Arabidopsis thaliana: one gene and its partner. The protein of the gene in region 2 interacts with the protein of the main gene of each other region in a biochemical or structural test. Each region holds a gene or a part of one and is shown on either strand. Other genes may lie near its edges. The genes, in order: CAM5 and WRKY15.

Region 1 (5,134 bases), 1.6 Mb from region 2:
GTTTAATGTTTGATGCTAAGTGACACAAAGTGTTTCAATGCATTTGGTGTTATAAACTAGTATTTGGATATTATATTCTTAATCATAAGTTTTCTTAACGAGAGGCTTTTCGAATTCATGTACAATTTGCATTTCTTGATTTATTATGAAAATACTTAAATAGCAACTGATTAGAAAGACTTTTAAGTTTAGGTTTAGTTCCTAAAAAAGTATTTTCTTTGTTTTAATTGTATTATCATCTCACAAGAATTAGACCATATGCCCGCCCACATTGTTGATAGATAGCAAATGCCTAACGCCTAAATCAACTGATAAATTATAACAGTTAGATCGCCAGAGTATTAGTTAAAGTCTCCTAATATTGGTCGTGTATCTTTTCTGAGTTTTCTCTTGCTAATATCTTAAAAACATTGTGATAGTGTTTCTGTACTAGTGCCACCGTCGTATCATAACTCGGATTTAGTGTTGTCGCTATATACTTGGATTCAAGTTTGATAAGTGTGCGTATGTTGTAGACGAAAATTAAACATTGTGGTAGATAGGAAATGCCTAAATGAACTTACTATATTGATAGTACTTTAAAACTTTTTATATAACAGTATAGTAAATATTTAACATATTCAAACAAGATATGACATTTAAAATCCGTTTAATGGGTGTGAGAGGTACAAATCTCTTATTGCACACAAACATATAAAGAAAAGGAATTAAGAAGCAAATGGTCGGAGCTCAGAGAATACGGCAGTGACTTTTCCGGCGACCATTCTTTTCTTTGTATTCAGCAGAATTGCTACTACGCTTTGCTGCCATAACTCTCTTCCCTCTTCTCCTAATAAATTACACACATTTTAAAATAATTAGGTATCAAGATTTTCGATAATATTTAAAAGAAAAAGAAGAAACTAAGCCTTGTAACAAAAAAAAGTAAAAATAAAAAATACTGGTTACCAACAAAAAAGTTCAGTCATAATTAAAGGTTTGGAGATTCTCATTTCATCTATCTAGCTTTTGCTACTTACCATCCATTTTTGATTTTATTCCCCAAAACATATCTGCCTTTTAATTTAAACAATTACGTTCTACCTCACGAATAACTACTGTATGCATACACCACTTTTTATATGTTTTTGTTAAAATGTAGAATATATTGAATCAAGAAAAACACGAATGTTATTTACAAAGCTGAAAGTTGAAGTGGGGAAAAAGAGAACTGAAGCTTGAAAACTTTTGAAAGAAAAAATGAAATGGAAGTTATGTTTTTCTTTAACCCTTTTTCGTATTTCCTAAATTTTATCTCTTGTTTTAATCGTTACAAATGATAATACTTTTTTCTAACAGTTTACTTATTTTCTTATATGAACCGTAAAATAAGAAAAACATATTTTAATTTGACTCAAATTATATGGATTATTGCCAACATTCCTCTAAAAAATAGGGGAATTTCCAAATTGACCAACAATTTAAAAATAAATAAAAAATTCTAAGCTTTTAAAACTACCGATATAATGTTTTCAGACATTTTTCCTACAAATTTTAATCACACAAATAACCCTTTTTTTTTTTAACAAACATTGCAAACTATAAAATACAATAAAATAAAAAAGTACTAATACCAAGAGATAGCTTTTTCAACGACCATTACAATGGTACTTCACATAATATAAAATAAACTAAAAACTTCCAAACAAATAATTTAACCCAAAGTCACAAAATAGTTCATAACATGAAATTTGGGACGAATGCATAATAATGAACAGTCAAACATAGAATAAAGCAATAATCAGAGTTGTTCAATTCAAAAAAAGAAAGAAAGAAAAAGAGAGAAAAGATATGAGAATAGTTTCCTCACTTTGCCATCATAACTTTGACAAACTCTTCATAATTGATCTGACCATCTCCATCAACATCAGCTTCTTTGATCATCTCATCAACTTCTTCATCAGTTAACTTCTCACCAAGATTTGTCATTACATGTCTTAACTCAGCTGCCGAGATGAAACCGTTCTGGTCCTTATCGAAAACCCTGAAAGCTTCTTTGAGCTCTTCTTCAGAGTCAGTGTCCTTCATCTTCCTAGCCATTAGGTTCAGAAACTCAGGGAAGTCTATGGTTCCGTTACCATCAGCATCTACTTCGTTTATCATATCTTGTAACTCTGCTTCTGTTGGATTTTGACCTAATGATCTCATCACTGTTCCTAGCTCTTTCGTTGTGATGCAACCTAAACACAAAACCACACATTTCTCTCAAATCAGTAACAGATTTTAACACCAAATCTTCAAATTTTCATTGTAATTTACTCTAATAACACACAAAATCTTCAAATTTCATTTTAGTTACTCTAACAACTGTATCAAATGAACACAAAATCTTCAAATTTCATTGTAACCTACTCAAATAACTGAATCAATTAAACAAAAAATCTACAAATGTCAATGTAATCTACTTCGATTATTGAATTCTAAGATTTGTGTCAATTCTAATCACAATTAGTAAAATCTGGAAGACTAAAACACGATTAAGTTAGAGATTATTATCGAGATAGATCCGATTGCGATTATAATTTATAATCAACGAACGATAAAGATATCATCAAATCTCGCGTTTAATGTTAATGTGAATATCCAGAGATTTTATGGACAACGAAGAGCATCAAATTCCTAAAGCCAAGACTAAGTGATACTCAAAACACCAAAAAAAACGCAAGTGAGTCTATTATGAATGAAAATTATACAAAAGAGGAAAGATCTGAGAGAGAAGAACCATCTCCGTCTTTGTCGAAAAGGCTAAAAGCTTCCTTGAACTCAGAGATCTGATCATCGGTGAGCTGATCTGCCATTTTTTGGTTTAGATGAGAAAGAGAGAAGAAGAAGAAGAAGAAGAATCAACGTTGGTGTGTGTAATGAGAGGATTGTTGTGTGGAATTATAAAGAAGGAAAAAGAAAAGGCCCATTAGGCCCAATAACAATAATTTCGAATCTGATTCTCTTTTTTATTCTTCTTTTGTTTTGTTCTCCACTGGGCCTTATTGTGTTTTCAATTCGACTAGCTTTACTTAAGAGGGAGGTGATGTATATATTCCCTTGTGAAAAGAAATAGTATTGTTGTTTTGCCGACAACCATTTACATGCTTTGAATGGTTTAGTTCATATAAGTTACTGATCTTACCATGCGTACCAATACTAAGTATTCAACGAGTTGGTAGAATGGGATTACTAGTGATATAAAACGGTAAAAAAGGTTTAGCTTTGTGTTTACCATGGATTTTAAACTACTTTTTAATTAAGTTAACCAAAGAAAAAGTTTTAGCATTATAAGAAAATTTAGAAATAGTAGTACTTTTTATTTACTGTTTTTGTAATTAATAATCATCTAGGAGTTAGGACAAAAATCACTACTTTGTTGTTGGAAGGGTCACCTAATGGGTAGTTAAGCATCATGACCTTCACTTAAAGATTTGATATTAAACAAGATCCAGTTTTCGCAAAACTGTCATACTTTTTTGATCGCCACAACTATGTCTCTCAGTTTGGCTAGAGATGTAGTAAAAAACAAACTTATTGTATCCATCACAATTATAGGTAATTTACTGTCTTGGTTTTAAAAACATGTAATGTTGAGCATCCCAAAGTTTGTGTGTCCCAATGCTAGAGCATATTATAGTCTTACCTCTAGTGAGTTCATAAAGAAGTGTTGTATGATCATATATTTTGTTGAGTAAGAGAAATATTTCTTTCTTCCTCATGTGGTTGATTATTCAAAATTATACAAAAGAGGAAAATCACTTAAAAATATTCACGATACCGTTAAAAGATTACCAAAGAATGGGCCAAATCATAATATTAATAAAGCCCGTTAATAACCGAATCGACCCACCCGACAAAACAACCCGAATCGTTTTAATATCCAACCCGGAGTCAGACGGAGCTCCAAAGATTTGGCTTGTCTCTGGCTTGAGAACAAAGAAAACCCCTTTCTTCGATCTCAGCTTAAATCACTCGACGAAGAAGAAATCAGAAAAGAGTCAGAGAAAAAAAAAATCAAGGAAGATGAGTAGCATTGGAACTGGGTACGATCTCTCCGTCACCACTTTCTCTCCCGATGGCCGTGTTTTCCAGATCGAGTACGCCGCTAAAGCTGTCGACAACAGTGGGTTAGTTGGCTTTATCTTCTTCGATCTTCGCCCTTTAGTAGATCGGATTTAGCTTCTGAAAACTTTGAGATTTTGGTTATCGACACGAATTAGGGTTTGTTAAAAGTCTTTCCCTTTTTTTTTCTTCGCAGGACTGTTGTTGGAATCAAGTGCAAAGATGGGATTGTTATGGTTTGATTCTTCCTCCTTCCTCTATTGATTTTTATACTACTTTGTCACTTTCTTCAGTGGGTTTAGTCTCTCGTGCTGTGATTTAACCTTGGAATGAAGTATTCACATTTTTGTTATCAGAATTGTAGATTTGATGTAATATATACCGTGTAAATTTTGACCCAAGATGACACATTTTACAGTCCCTTAGTTTCATTTCCTGTTCGATATGTTGTGAATCTGTTGTTAGTTTTGGGTTTTGTAAGATTTTACGCAGATTTTTGATAAAGGAATGGTCTTGCTAAGTGTTTATCATTTGGTGGTTTTTAGGGAGTTGAGAAACTTATTGCATCAAAGATGATGCTACCAGGTTCCAACAGGAGAATCCATTCTGTTCATCGTCATGCTGGCATGGTATGTTTTTTTCTCCTAAACTATAGGAAATTAGTTTCTGCTGAGGATATGTATCTTTCAAGTTTTTTGTAACTACTATTGTGTCTAGTCTCGTAGTATATTGTTTTGTTTCATGATTATGGGTATTTCTACTTCTGTCATGTCAGGCTGTTGCTGGGCTTGCAGCTGATGGGAGGCAAATTGTTGCGCGTGCTAAGTCTGAAGCACGAAGCTATGAGAGGTATCAATGAAAACATCAGTAGCTTATATCTAAGATTTATTATTATGAAAGAACTGTTCAACTCCTAAAGCTTTTCTCAAGGGGATGTTTCTCTTAGTTAAACGTTCAAAATATTTTTTATCTGCATTTTGTTAGATTAAAAATCTAAATATATGGGTATAAGATGTCAATGTGTATGTTCTCCTTTCTTCCTACATGG
Region 2 (4,287 bases):
ATTATAAATTTACAACTTAGAAGACACGAAGGGTTAGATTAGAAATAATGACCTAATGGAAAGACTAAAGTGGAACAAAAAGACACGTAAGTGTCTCAATGGTCCAAATCCAATTTGTTTCGTCCTTCACAAGACTACAAACCTATGCACATGTTCGAACATATGAACACGACAACTTCTCTTCTGCCACTTTGTTATTTTCTTTTTTTTCAATAAAAAAATCATTATCGATGGAAAATCTAATACACGGCATCAAGATTTCTCCTAGGATTTGAAGAAATTGTACGCGTAACCTAGAATAAACTATACGGTGCTCTAAGTCAAGATTTTCAAAAGATTATCAACATTTCATCAACAACAAATACTTTTTTTTTCTTAATTTATTCAATATTTCCTAAAAGAATTTCTTAGCTTGTAGTCTTGTAATAAGTTATACTAAAGTGAAAGAGGAGATGATATTTTTAGGAAATTGTTATAGTAAGTCAACCCAAGTTATTTTTGTTATTGTGTTGTTTATGTCTTTTTGGTATCTAGTAGGATGTTTAATGACTACGTAAACTTTTCCGAAATTATAATTAAGAAAGAAAAAAAAAGTTGAAAAAGAAGACCACTTATGGTCAAATACAACAATGGTCAAACACGACAACTTTGGTCCCCAAATCTCTTTCTAATCCTTTGACCATTTTCACATGTCCCATCTCTTTTACCTTACTTTTCAACTCCACCCCCAAACTTTTCTCTTCTTTATTAAATGACATCAAATAACTAAAAATGAAAAATAAACCCTTCAAATTGCAAGTAACAAGTAAACATGATGAATATATCACAATTTATAATTTAACAATCCAAAAAACTAACAAATCGAAATTTAGCAAAAGCTTTTTGATTTTGATTACATTGATTTCATTCATAGTTTGAGTACTTCACTAAGTAAGGATCTAAATTTATATTATAAAAGCCTTAAATAAAGATTTGTTCTTTTCAAGACGATTCCAAAATAAGATCAGCAACGGCGGCTCCGGCGAGATCAGCGGCGGAGAGAGAATGATTATGATCTCCTTCATAAGTAACAATCAACATGGACGAATCATCAGCTGCTCTCTCAACATGTTTACGTGCTGGACAACCTCTTACGCTACTACACTTATAATATCCTCTGTTTTCACAATATCAAGAAACAGAGCACAATCAATTTCACCATAAAGTTTCGATTTTTATTAAGATACTGTAATTGAAAATTGTACTTTTTATAGTTTACCTTGGATGTGGAGATCCTTTAATTGGTTTTTGTCCGTATTTCCTCCATGAATAATCGTCCGGTGGTACATCGGACATTTTTGCACTTATCGCCGGAACCCTAATTATTCTCCTCTGTTTTATCTTTCTGAAAAAACAGAGCAAACAAAAGAAACAATTTTTAGATACCAAATCTATGAACTTTTATAGTTGGGTCGAATCTAAATACCAAATCTAATAAAAATTTACCTTTTCTTCGAGCAATGACAACGACCGGAGGAAGAAGCGGAAGCGCATTTTCCGGTGAGAAGATTCTCAGAGTTACATTTTCTCTTTGTTGATTTTGAGAAAGACGAGACCGTCGTGGAGAGGCTTTGAGTTTGAGACGCAAACGGCGCCGTTTCAGAGGGACGTTGATGATGATGAATCTTCTTCTGGTTGTCTGATTCCGTTGTTACAGAGGAGAGAGATGAGAAATCAATCGTTTTCATCGATGAAGAAAACGAACCTTTTCGGATCATTTGCGGCGGAGGAGGAAGAGGAGACTGAAACGGCGTCGTTTTTGGTTCTTCTTGTAAAAGAACCGGAGAAATAACATGAACCGGAGCACGTCTAAACCGGGCGTGTCCGGTTCGAGTTCGATCTAAGAGAGATATGACTCTTTTAAACTTTGAAACAGCCGCGTCCGCCGTTGTGTTACGAGCTGATTCAAGATCTGCGGCGGCGGAGGCGGAGGCGGAGGCGGAAGAAGAAGATGGCTGATCAGAGTTAAAGCTATCACGAGACATTAAACCGATGAAATTTTCGATACTTTTGAGTCCTGAAGCAGCTGCTTCTTGAACGGCGAAGCTATCAGCTCCGACGCCGGAGATGTAATTCCGAGTCATGAGCTCCACCGCCATAAAATCTCTCTCTCTACAAGGAGAGAGTTGTGGACTTTATGGGATTCGAGAGGACTAAAGTAAATAAGAGAACAAAAATGAATAAAAAATTTGGTATTTAAAGTGATGTAATTTGTATGGTAGGTGACTGACTAATGTGTCACGGTTTAGACTTTTCCTATGTTCATAAATAGTCTTTTTTACTATTCAATTTTTGTTGTTAAGAGTCAACTTTTTCTTTTTTTGTTAGATTCGAAAAGTCAAAGTTTGTACAAAATTAGAGGATTCAACCTTCACGTGTTTGTTGCAACGGTAGTGATAAGTCTTGATCATCACTATTTTTAAAACGTTTACGAGCATATTTGCATACATGTTCTTTACTTAAAAACCAAGAGAACTCAATACATTTTATTTTATTTTACTATACACCACTATCCCATGAGCTTTGGCAAACTCTAATCTTTTGTCGAGATAGAAGAATCAAGTCTTTATTAGATGAGTTGTTGTAACAATTTGTAACACCAACAATTTTTGATACAATTCATTTAAGCACCAAAACATTTGTAATGCCTACAATTCAATGTTTTTGAAAGAGCTTTGGAAAAAAACTTTGTGAGAGAACTTACAAACTCACATCTTGTTTTCTTACAACTATAGTGATTAAAGCTGTCCAAAACTCCTTATTAAACTGCTAGTCATCCGTTTAGACACAGTTAAACACTTTTGTACATATTTTTACTCTGATTAACCAATTATACATTTCATCGAAAAAACTTTATTTTTTTCAAAAAAGTTTTTAGAACAAATGAAGTATTACTACTTCGTATATAATCTAGTAATTTGTATTAGGATGAAATTATCTCTATTCTGGTTTAATTAGTACATTAGACTCATTTTTTACTCCACTAAAGAAAGAGATGTCCAAACTATTAGGCTAGAAGATGAACAAACGGCTAAACCACTAACTTAATCGCTTTTCGACATTATTCTAATTTTTCTTGTTCTAGTATTTTTTTTTTTGTCGGCATTTTTCTTGTTCTTTTCGTCGACACTATTGTAATTAAACTTGATAAAATACATGTTGTTAAGATGAATGAAAAAGAAAATGTTTTATTTTTTATTTTTATGGAGAGACAAATCAAGATAGGTGTGATGATAAGAGTCATAACGGACGAAAAAGAAGAGAGAGGATCGAGTCAAACTTTCGTCGTCAGCCGTATGATCTGGTTTCGAAGTAGGACCCAACAAATTTAACTTAAATCGCAGAAGTTTTTGTCGTCGCCAGCTTAGTGGAGTTGACTTTTCGTCAACATCCTCTTTGTTATTTTTGTTCATTAATTCTTTGGGCTTTATTTACTCTACTTTTATTGCTTCTTCTTCACTAATCATGGTTTAGGTTGGTTGTTGTACAACCATATTTGTTAAAAATGAAGTCTAATACAATATCTATGCCGATATCATTTTAGAGTAATTTCTTGTTACAAATTAAGTTTAAATCATAATGTCGGCGATCTGCCTCCTCCGCCTCTCCGTTTGCGGCACTCCTTGCCGGCGAACGGGGAGGGCTCCTCCTCCTCCCTCTTTGTTGTCTTTGATGTTTCTCCTCCTCTCGTGCTCCATCGTTTTGTTTCAGATTTCGATTGCCCATCGTCTCTAGTTGGTGGTGCGTGGTGGGTTTCTCCTTTCTGCGGTGGTTGTGGCTCTTGATGAGACGTTTGGGTTCGTTGGACCTCCTAGCGACGGGATTCTTCTCCGATCTAGAAATCAGGTGGTGCATCGCCTTAGTTTTGTTTTTTCTGCTCTTCGTAAAGCCTCCTCGATTCTTCATCGTTTTTGCTCGAAGTTGGAGCTTGTGGTGTCTTTTGTTGTTGTTGTTTTGTACTTAGACAACAGTGATGTTATGCGTCATGTCGGAGTGGAGTCTTAAGGGAAGAATAGAGGCGGCGCGTTGGTCTTCGAGGCATCATTTATCCGTGGGAGATGGTTCCTATTGTTTTGATAGGAATGGTGACTGAAGGTAGTTTCTTTGGTTATCCCTGTAACCGTCGGATTTGTGTTTTAGTCCTCTGTTGTCTTTGCGTTTTTGCGTTAGTTTGCGGAGAAGCTGTAGGCGCTTTATTAAGAGGTTTTGTGGACGGGCTTCTGCTAAAGTTTGCTCGTGGCAACTACG

The links.
Region 1: the proteins of WRKY15 (region 2) and CAM5 form a complex in vitro, tested with the Arabidopsis thaliana proteins (one study listed by BioGRID).

Annotation. Positions count from the first base shown.
Region 1 is NC_003071.7:11,529,772-11,534,905, reverse strand, and holds CAM5 (calmodulin 5), read right to left. Parts: upstream 2,940-5,134; 5' UTR 2,838-2,939; coding exon 2,762-2,837; intron 2,220-2,761; coding exon 1,850-2,219; coding exon of another isoform or gene 1,846-1,849; exon of another isoform or gene 1,622-1,845; intron 830-1,621; coding exon 730-829; 3' UTR 548-729; downstream 1-547. Other genes in the region: PAG1 (20S proteasome alpha subunit G1), read left to right, coding at 3,742-4,151, 4,283-4,322, 4,632-4,715, 4,862-4,935. UniProt on the Arabidopsis thaliana protein: Calmodulin mediates the control of a large number of enzymes, ion channels and other proteins by Ca(2+). Among the enzymes to be stimulated by the calmodulin-Ca(2+) complex are a number of protein kinases and phosphatases.
Region 2 is NC_003071.7:9,922,849-9,927,135, reverse strand, and holds WRKY15 (WRKY DNA-binding protein 15), read right to left. Parts: upstream 2,251-4,287; 5' UTR 2,139-2,250; coding exon 1,486-2,138; intron 1,385-1,485; coding exon 1,259-1,384; intron 1,157-1,258; coding exon 982-1,156; 3' UTR 764-981; downstream 1-763. Other genes in the region: AT2G23321 (uncharacterized protein), read right to left, coding at 618-758. UniProt on the Arabidopsis thaliana protein: Transcription factor. Interacts specifically with the W box (5'-(T)TGAC[CT]-3'), a frequently occurring elicitor-responsive cis-acting element.